Linked DNA regions of Elephas maximus indicus. The protein of the gene in region 2 purifies or fractionates together with the protein of the main gene of each other region. This does not show direct contact. Links are inferred from orthologs where the notes say so. Each region holds a gene or a part of one and is shown on either strand. Other genes may lie near its edges. The genes, in order: CTNNBL1 and AICDA.

The links.
Region 1: the proteins of AICDA (region 2) and CTNNBL1 purify together in Homo sapiens (affinity purification with western blotting; 3 studies listed by BioGRID, with this or other methods). This does not show direct contact. The link is inferred for Elephas maximus indicus from reciprocal best matches to the Homo sapiens genes AICDA and CTNNBL1.

Annotation. Positions count from the first base shown.
Region 1 is NC_064843.1:31,850,128-31,854,046, forward strand, and holds the start of CTNNBL1 (beta-catenin-like protein 1), read right to left. Parts: upstream 3,007-3,919; 5' UTR 2,915-3,006; coding exon 2,885-2,914; intron 1-2,884. UniProt on the Homo sapiens protein: Component of the PRP19-CDC5L complex that forms an integral part of the spliceosome and is required for activating pre-mRNA splicing.
Region 2 is NC_064822.1:65,806,156-65,810,074, forward strand, and holds the start of AICDA (single-stranded DNA cytosine deaminase), read right to left. Parts: upstream 2,972-3,919; 5' UTR 2,908-2,971; coding exon 2,900-2,907; intron 1-2,899. UniProt on the Homo sapiens protein: Single-stranded DNA-specific cytidine deaminase. Involved in somatic hypermutation (SHM), gene conversion, and class-switch recombination (CSR) in B-lymphocytes by deaminating C to U during transcription of Ig-variable (V) and Ig-switch (S) region DNA.

The DNA.
Region 1 (3,919 bases), on a different chromosome or scaffold from region 2:
GGCATATAAGATACATCTATCGGTCCCATCCTGTTCAGAGCAAACGAAACTGAAGAAAACCAAAGACAGAAGTAAAATATTAGTCCAAGGACTAATGGACCACATAAACCACAGCCTGAGCCTAGAAGAACTAGATGGTGCCTGGCTACCACCACCAATCGCTCTGACAGGGATTACAATGGACGGCTCTGGACGGAGTGGGAGAAAGATGTATAACAAAATCCAAATTCAGCAAAAACAAAACAAAACAAAAAAACACCCAGACTTCTTGGCCTCACAGAGACTGGAGGAACTCTCAAGACTATGGCCCCCGGACACCCTGCTAACTCAGCATTGAAGCCACTCCTGAAGCCCACTTTTCAGCCAAAGATTAGACAAACCTATAAAACAAACAATAACACAAGTGAGGAACACGATTATTAGTTCAATCAAGTATACAAGACCAAATGGGCAACACCTGCCCAAAAGCAAAGACAAGTAGGCAGGAAGGGGCAGGAAAACTGGATGAATGGGCACAGGAACTGGGGTGGAAAGGGACAGGGGGAGAGTGCTGACCTAATGTGGGGATTGCAACCTATGTCACAAAACAATTTGCGTGTGTATTTCTGAATGAGAAACTAACTTGCGCTGTAAACTTTCACCTAAAGCACAATAAAATTAAGAAAAAAAAATTACATAACATTAAAGGGCAAATACAAGTTGTCCATAAATTGGATGTTCATAGCATGGGGACTGCCTGTACACCCATCATTCGCTTATCAACATGGTTAGGTTCCAAAGACCAGGTCATTATGTGAAAACTGGCGTTACATGAATATGGAAGATGGCTACATCATTACATGACAACCAAATTACATTATTATATAACTGCCAAACCACTGAGAATCACGGCCCAGCCAAGCTGACACATAATCTTAACCATCACAGCCAGCGTAACTCTCGCCTTGCACTTCAGCATTCATTACTACCAGATATTCACTGTCACAAAACAGTCGGTTTTTTATTATTGTTGTAAAATGTGAAATGTTGGATAACAAGACAGTTGATAAGTAGGGAGTAAGTGTATACCTCCTTCCTTACAAATTCCTTCCCATCATGTCTGGAGTCGCCAGGTCAGTTTTTGATATGTTGGATGAAAGAGTGGCACAAAAATAATAGTTAACATTTACTGACAGCCTGCTGAGCAGGTTTCAGTGGAGCTTTCAGACTAAGATGGACTAGGAAGAAAGACCTGGCAACCAACCTACTTCCAAAAATCCGCCAATTAAAACCTTATGGATCACAAGTATCTGATCTCCAACCGATCTTAGCTGCAAAACCAGACAGCATTTTCTTCTGTTGTGCACAGGGTCTGACTTAACCGCAGCTATCAACAACTGAACATTTACCCTTTGACAGGCATTGGTCTAAGCCATTTACATTTATGTTTCAAAACAGACCCGTGAGGTAGCAAACAACACTGTCCCATTTACGGATGAGAAAACCAAGGCATAGAGAGATTAACTACTGTTCAAGTCTACAGCAGTAGGTTAGCAGCAAAAATAAGATTGCAAGTAACCTGGGCCTCCAAATTCATGCCTTTCAGGCTCTTTTTATCTGTCCAATAAAAATACAATGTCATCTATATGTGTAAATTTAAATTTTCTAGTAGCTGCATTACAAAGTCAACCAAAAACGGGTGAAATTTACTTTAAATATACTTTATTTAGCCCCTTATCCAAAATATGATTATTTAATCAAGATAAATCAATATGACCAATATAATCATGCAATCAATATAAAAAATTTTACACTCTTTTCATATTGTCTTCAAAATCTAGTGTGAATTTTAGACTTAAAGCACTTCTCGATTCAGACTAGCCACGTTACAAGTGTTCAATAGCCACATGTGGCTAGTGGCTACAGTACTGCACCGTGCACCTCAACTGCCTCGCAAAAGAAGCCTCTTGGGGGCCTAAAGGGAGGATAAAACTTGGGGCTGGCAGCCAGGAGACCTGAGCTCTTACTTGTTGACTGACTTTTGGGCAAGTGTCCACCCTCTGGACCAGTTTTCCAACAAGCAGTGTGAGCAATGGGGACAAGGAAATTCCTAGGGTTCCTTGTCCCCATTGAATCCCATGCTTGAATTCCAAACATCTCCCAACAACGGCAGTTAACATGGGTACAGCTTTCCACAGTTTAAAATCAGCTTTCACATCCATTAGCTAACAGAGTTCTCAAACAACCGTAAACCCGTTGCCGTCGAGGCGATTCCAACTCACGGTTATTGATGTCTCTATAGTTAAAAAAGGAAACCCTGGTGGTGTAGTGGTTAAGTGCTATGGCTGCTAACCACAGGGTCTGCAGTTCGAATCCGCCAGGCGCTCCTTGGAAACTCTATGGGGCAGTTACACTCTGTCCTATAGGGTCGCTGTAAGTCGGAATCGACTCGACGGCAATGGGTATAGTTAGAATAGCTGAGCCTCGTAGAGGAAGAAATGAGTTGATGCAAAGTCACATAGCCAGTCAATGGAGACTCGAGCTCAAAGCCAGGAAAGGCCAGCGCTGCTCTCAATGACTGAGGGAAGAAGACAGCGGAGGGGAATGGTTGTGAAGACAGGGCAGTTTGGCGCCTTCAGAGAAGTTCCAGGGAGCAAGGCCTGTGGGTGGGGTGAGCAGGGCCCAGACAGTTGTGAGAAGAGGCGAGGGGGCCAGGGCCTTGACAAGGAACTAACTGAAAGGCCCAAGGGGGTTCCCGGGAGAGCGAAGTGAAATGAGCGGCTCGGACCCGGGCCGGCACGCAGAGAAGAGGGAGCCAGGCCCCAGAACGAAAAGAGAGGACGTGCATTAAAGGGACCCTGGTTCTGCGAGAGGGCGGAACCCCGGCCCTGCCCACCCCTTCTACCTGGTAGCTCAGAAGTTCTCCCACGTCCATGGTTCCCTGCCCAGCCAACGCCGGCGACGTCGGTTCCCTCCACTCACGCCAAAAACGCGGCTCGCAGTTTCTCCAGACACACTGCCGTAAAGCGCCGCGAGCCGGCCTCAGAGCCAATCGGGTAAAAGTGCGCACGACGAGCTGGACCGCCACACTGCGGTAAAAGGCAGCGCCACCGTAAACCGCGCTGCATTGAGGACACTGCTGTTTCCGCCTGGAGCCTGAGCGGGGCGGGGCAGGGGGCGGAGACCTGGAGGAGGGCGGTAGGAGGAGAGGAAAGGCAGAAAGTAGCCGGAGTTTATCGCGCACCCCTTTGGGCAGGGCGGAGGGCTGGGTGTTTCACTTGTGTTTTCGCAGCGCTTCCTGGGCAGTTTTATTCTCAAATGAAGGCGCCCTGGTGGCGCAGTGGCTAAAGCATTCGACTTCTAACCGAAAGGTTGGCGGCTTGAACCCACCGGCTGCAGGGGGAGAAACATGTGGTAGTCGTCTTGCAGAAAGATTACAGCCTTGGAAACCCTATGGGGCCGTTCTTCTCTGCCCTATAGGGTCTCTCTGTGTGTGGGAATCAACTGGTTGGCAGTGAGTTTGGGTTTTTTTGGGTTTTAATCCTCGGATAGTTTTTCACAGATAAACTGAGGCACTGCACAGTACATACCCACTAACTTCATGTGGCTGCCAACTGCTTGATATATGGCTAGCCGAAATTAAGGGTACCATAGGTGCTGGGTGTTTGAGCTCAACTACTAACCTAAAGATTGGTGGAAGAAAGGCCTGGAGATCTACTTCCAAAAAGTCAGCCATTGAAAACCTTACAGAGGGTTTTCTATACACGGACACACGTGGGGTCACCAAAAGTCTGAATGGACTCCTGGCCAACTGTCTTTTGTTTCGTTTTTTAAATAAGAGCTGATGCATGTAGAGCACTTTGCACAGTGTCTGGCACAGAAAAGTGCTCAACGTTTGCTATTAATATTATGAGGAATTGAGTGGGATGTGGAGGGAGAG
Region 2 (3,919 bases):
GTCTTGTAGGGTCTCTGTAAGAGGGAATCGACTTGAAGGCAACGGAGTTGTTACTGCAGGGAAGTATTCAGTTGTGTGGATATAGCGCATTTTATTATCCAGTCAGTGTTATTGGACATAAGGATTGTTTCCAGTTTGGGACTATTATGAACAGAGCTGCTGTGAACACTCCTCCACCCACTCCTGCGCCAGTCTTTTTGTGGACATATGTTGGGAGTTGACATTTTAATAATGAGATGTGGCTGATAGATGGTGACTTTAAAAGCTAACAAAGTTTTAACTTTATAAGTAGACAACTAAGGATGAGTGCTCTTTAGCAGTTTCCATTTAAATGTCTCCTCTCATACGCATGAAGCTTATTGGAAAGCACTTTACAGCCTGAGGCAGAGAACTAGATTTATCACCAGTATACATATGATATATATTACATCAAACAATTTAAAAATTACTCAACCATTTTACTGTGCCCCCCTTTTTTTTTTAAATTAAGAAATCGCATATTTGGCAGCAATCTAAAATGAATGCTGACAAAGATCCAACAGTAGACAAGAGCTTATTATGGTAGGTAATCAACATAACACCACCATTACTATTACTGTTATTATATGTTGTTGTTGTTAGGTGCTATTGAGTCATATAATAACCATTAACATATATAATCTCAATGCTTAATAAATACTGAAGAAGAAAACAAAAAAAACCCATATTTTCCTTTGGGAGCCCAGTCAGTTTTAAACAGATTAAGCACCAATTAAGTTTACTGATAAACTTCTTATACATTTCACCTACCCTCCTGGGCTGCATGGATCAGAAAGGCAGAGGAAAAAACTGTTATCATGAAGAAGAAAAAGTGTTCCGGGAATATAGAAGAAGAGGGCACAACATTGAGTTCGGATGGACTTTTTACTTCTTACCCCACATGAGGAGGAGCCCTGGTAGCACAGTGCTTAAAGCACTTGGCTGCTAACTGAAAGGTCAGTGGTTCAAGCCTACCAGCTGCTTTGCAGGAGACAGATGTAGCAGTCAGCTTCCCTAAAGCTCATAGCCTTGGAAACCCTATGTGGCAGTTCTACTCCATCCCACAGGGTTGAATGAGCTGGAAATGACTCAACGGCAGTGAGTTTGGTTTTGGGTACCCCATATGAAAAATATAATAGCCCCTTACTTTTTCTGTCACAAGCTGCCAGTCACAGGGAAATGATTTCCATGATCATGACCCGTTAATTAATTTTCTTGAGCCATCATTTCCCTTCTACTCTAGCTAGTAGCCTGTCTCCAGCACCCTGTTCTTCTCTTGGTAGAAAAGCCAAACTCAAACCTGTTGCTGTTGAGTAGATTCCAACTCACGGCAATCCCATGTGTTACAGGGTAGAACGGTGTTTCATGGGGTTTTCTTGGCTGTAATCTTTATGGAAGCAGATCACCAGGACTTTCTTGCATGGCACTACTGGGTGGGTTCGAACCACCAACCTTTGTGTTAGTAACCGATAGCAAACTGCTTTCGCCATCCAGGGCCTGTTGGGGGTGTAGAGGAGCTTTCTTTTTCGGTTACAAAGGATGTTGCAGAAGCAATTTTTCAAGTCTGCTGGTTGACAGCTGCTCTGGACAGCTGGGTTCCCTGAGGCAGAACCCTAGCTGTGTGTCCCCAGCAATGCAAACCAGAGAGAAAATGGGTAAAAAAATAATCCTGACAAAGTTATTCTCTCCTGTGGGGTGCCATCACTAATAAGCACTGCAGATATTAACTTCCTTAGTGATAATTATATATTTTCCTTTCTCTTCCGTTGAATTTCATCTTTCTCCTTTTTAATTTGTCTTTCTCTGAGTCTCCACTGCTAATTTTACCATTGCTTTGCGTTTCATTATATACAAGCATGTCCACTGGACTTGCACCTCTGACAACAGAGTGTTATTGACTTGTGCCTCAGGTTGGTTTTTTAAATAACTGTCAAAATCTCACTGCATACTGAGACATTCAACACTGTTTGCCCTCAAGAAAAATTTCTGAAGAACATTTAATCTACCCGTAAAAATCTTAGCTCTGTAGTATAAGTTCTATGTAGATAGATAGATAAAATTGAGATAAAGTCTACGGATTGGTATGATTTTAATATGTTCGTAATGATCATAAAAACTGAGATGCAATTCTATGATAATAACTTGGTTATCATAAACTGCGTGTATAGACATGAAAATCTTATAAAAGCCACATTTAAGAAGTTAAGCCATGTGTACACAAATCCAAGATCTTGTTAAAAAGTAAATATGCCACCAACTGCCTAACAATTGGACCATTCCATTAAACAACTTGCTTGAATAAATTTTTCTCCTTACTACAGACAGAATCATAGTGACCTTCAGGCATTTAATTTTGAATGATTGGTATTTTTTAAAAAACACAAATTTTCTTACTATGTAGCTTAATTGTTCAGTAAAATCACCTTAGGAGAGTTTGTCTTCAAGTGGTTTGACTGTTAAAATATTTACAAAGTTATTATTACAATTGCCACTGTATTTCATATAGTATTGCTGCTATCTTTTGATGATACGAGTCTCTAAACATTTGCTGTATTAATATTATGACTGTACACTACTTCTAACTGCAACACAAAACTCAGGGTATGTCAGTATACAGTGCATAAAACTCTTATGCAACCTGGAAAAGAGAGGTAGAAGTATGAAGCAGAGAGGATTAGGTTCAGAGCAGGCAAAATCTGAATAGAGCACGGTACATAAGACAGGTCCAGAAGAATAAGTAAGCATATTAAACAAGCAGATCCTGGGAGTCCCATAGGAGAGAAAGGAACAGATAGATACCAATCTTATTATTCAGGTTTGCTCTGAGAGGAAAGCCAATGAAACCACCCGCTGGAGACCCATGAGGTGACTGCCTCTTTACCTGTCCATTGAGGTCTCCAGGGTGTCTTTCTTGGTGGCTCCCTCAAAGTCTTAGGCAAAGGGCCAAGGAAATCTTGCCTCAAGCACTGCTGCTTCACTGACTCTGTCTGACAGTGTGAGGGCACTGGCCCCACACATTCAAATTTAAGCTTGCCCTTTTGGGCTCCTCCCCCCACATCACCAGGTACCCCAATAGCCTACCTCCTGATTTGGGCCCAGTGAAGAAAGAAGGGGTTGTCATAGGCAGCGTCACATGGGTTAAATGACTGGGGGAAGCTCTGCTTAATGCTTAGGGTCCTCTAGGACTGCTTCTCTAAAAATCCAAACCATGCCTCACAGACATCAAATATCCAGAGGCAGTGGTGGTAAGCACTACTTAAATTATTATCGTGGTAACAAACAATATGCTTAAATTTAAAATCATAATAATTATAATGCTCATTTAAATAGCATCTTGCGTTCTGTGAGCTGAAAGCATCTATTACCTCATTTAATTACACAATTGCTCTGTAACCTTCATAGAGACAGGCACTAAACAGCCCCTGCTTTATTGCTGAGCAATTAAATTCAATCAGTTACAGGATTTAAGACACAGGAATTTTGCTTCCCAAATCACTGCTTTTTTGTTTCTGATTGCATTACAACAATTGCTAGAAGACTATATGTTGACCCCAAAGAATAATTTTTGCACAAGCCATCTTTTCCACAAAATCATATATTTAATTCAAAGACAGATGCAACAGCACCCCCAAGCAATACCAAATGCTTGTTTCACCAAACAGAAGCAGTATCTAAATGACTGCATTGAACTTGGAAAATAGGCTGAGCTTTTCAAGTTCGAGGCTCCAGTTCCTGCTCTCATACAACTTAGTCTATTAAAAGTATTGTTTCTCTCTTATATCCCATCCCATATGAATTCTATTTATTCATGTAATAGATACTTAGCACCTACTGTAAGCCAGAAATTATGCCAGGTTCTTGAGATTTCATGGTGAGCAAAGCAGCTATAGTTCCTGCTCTC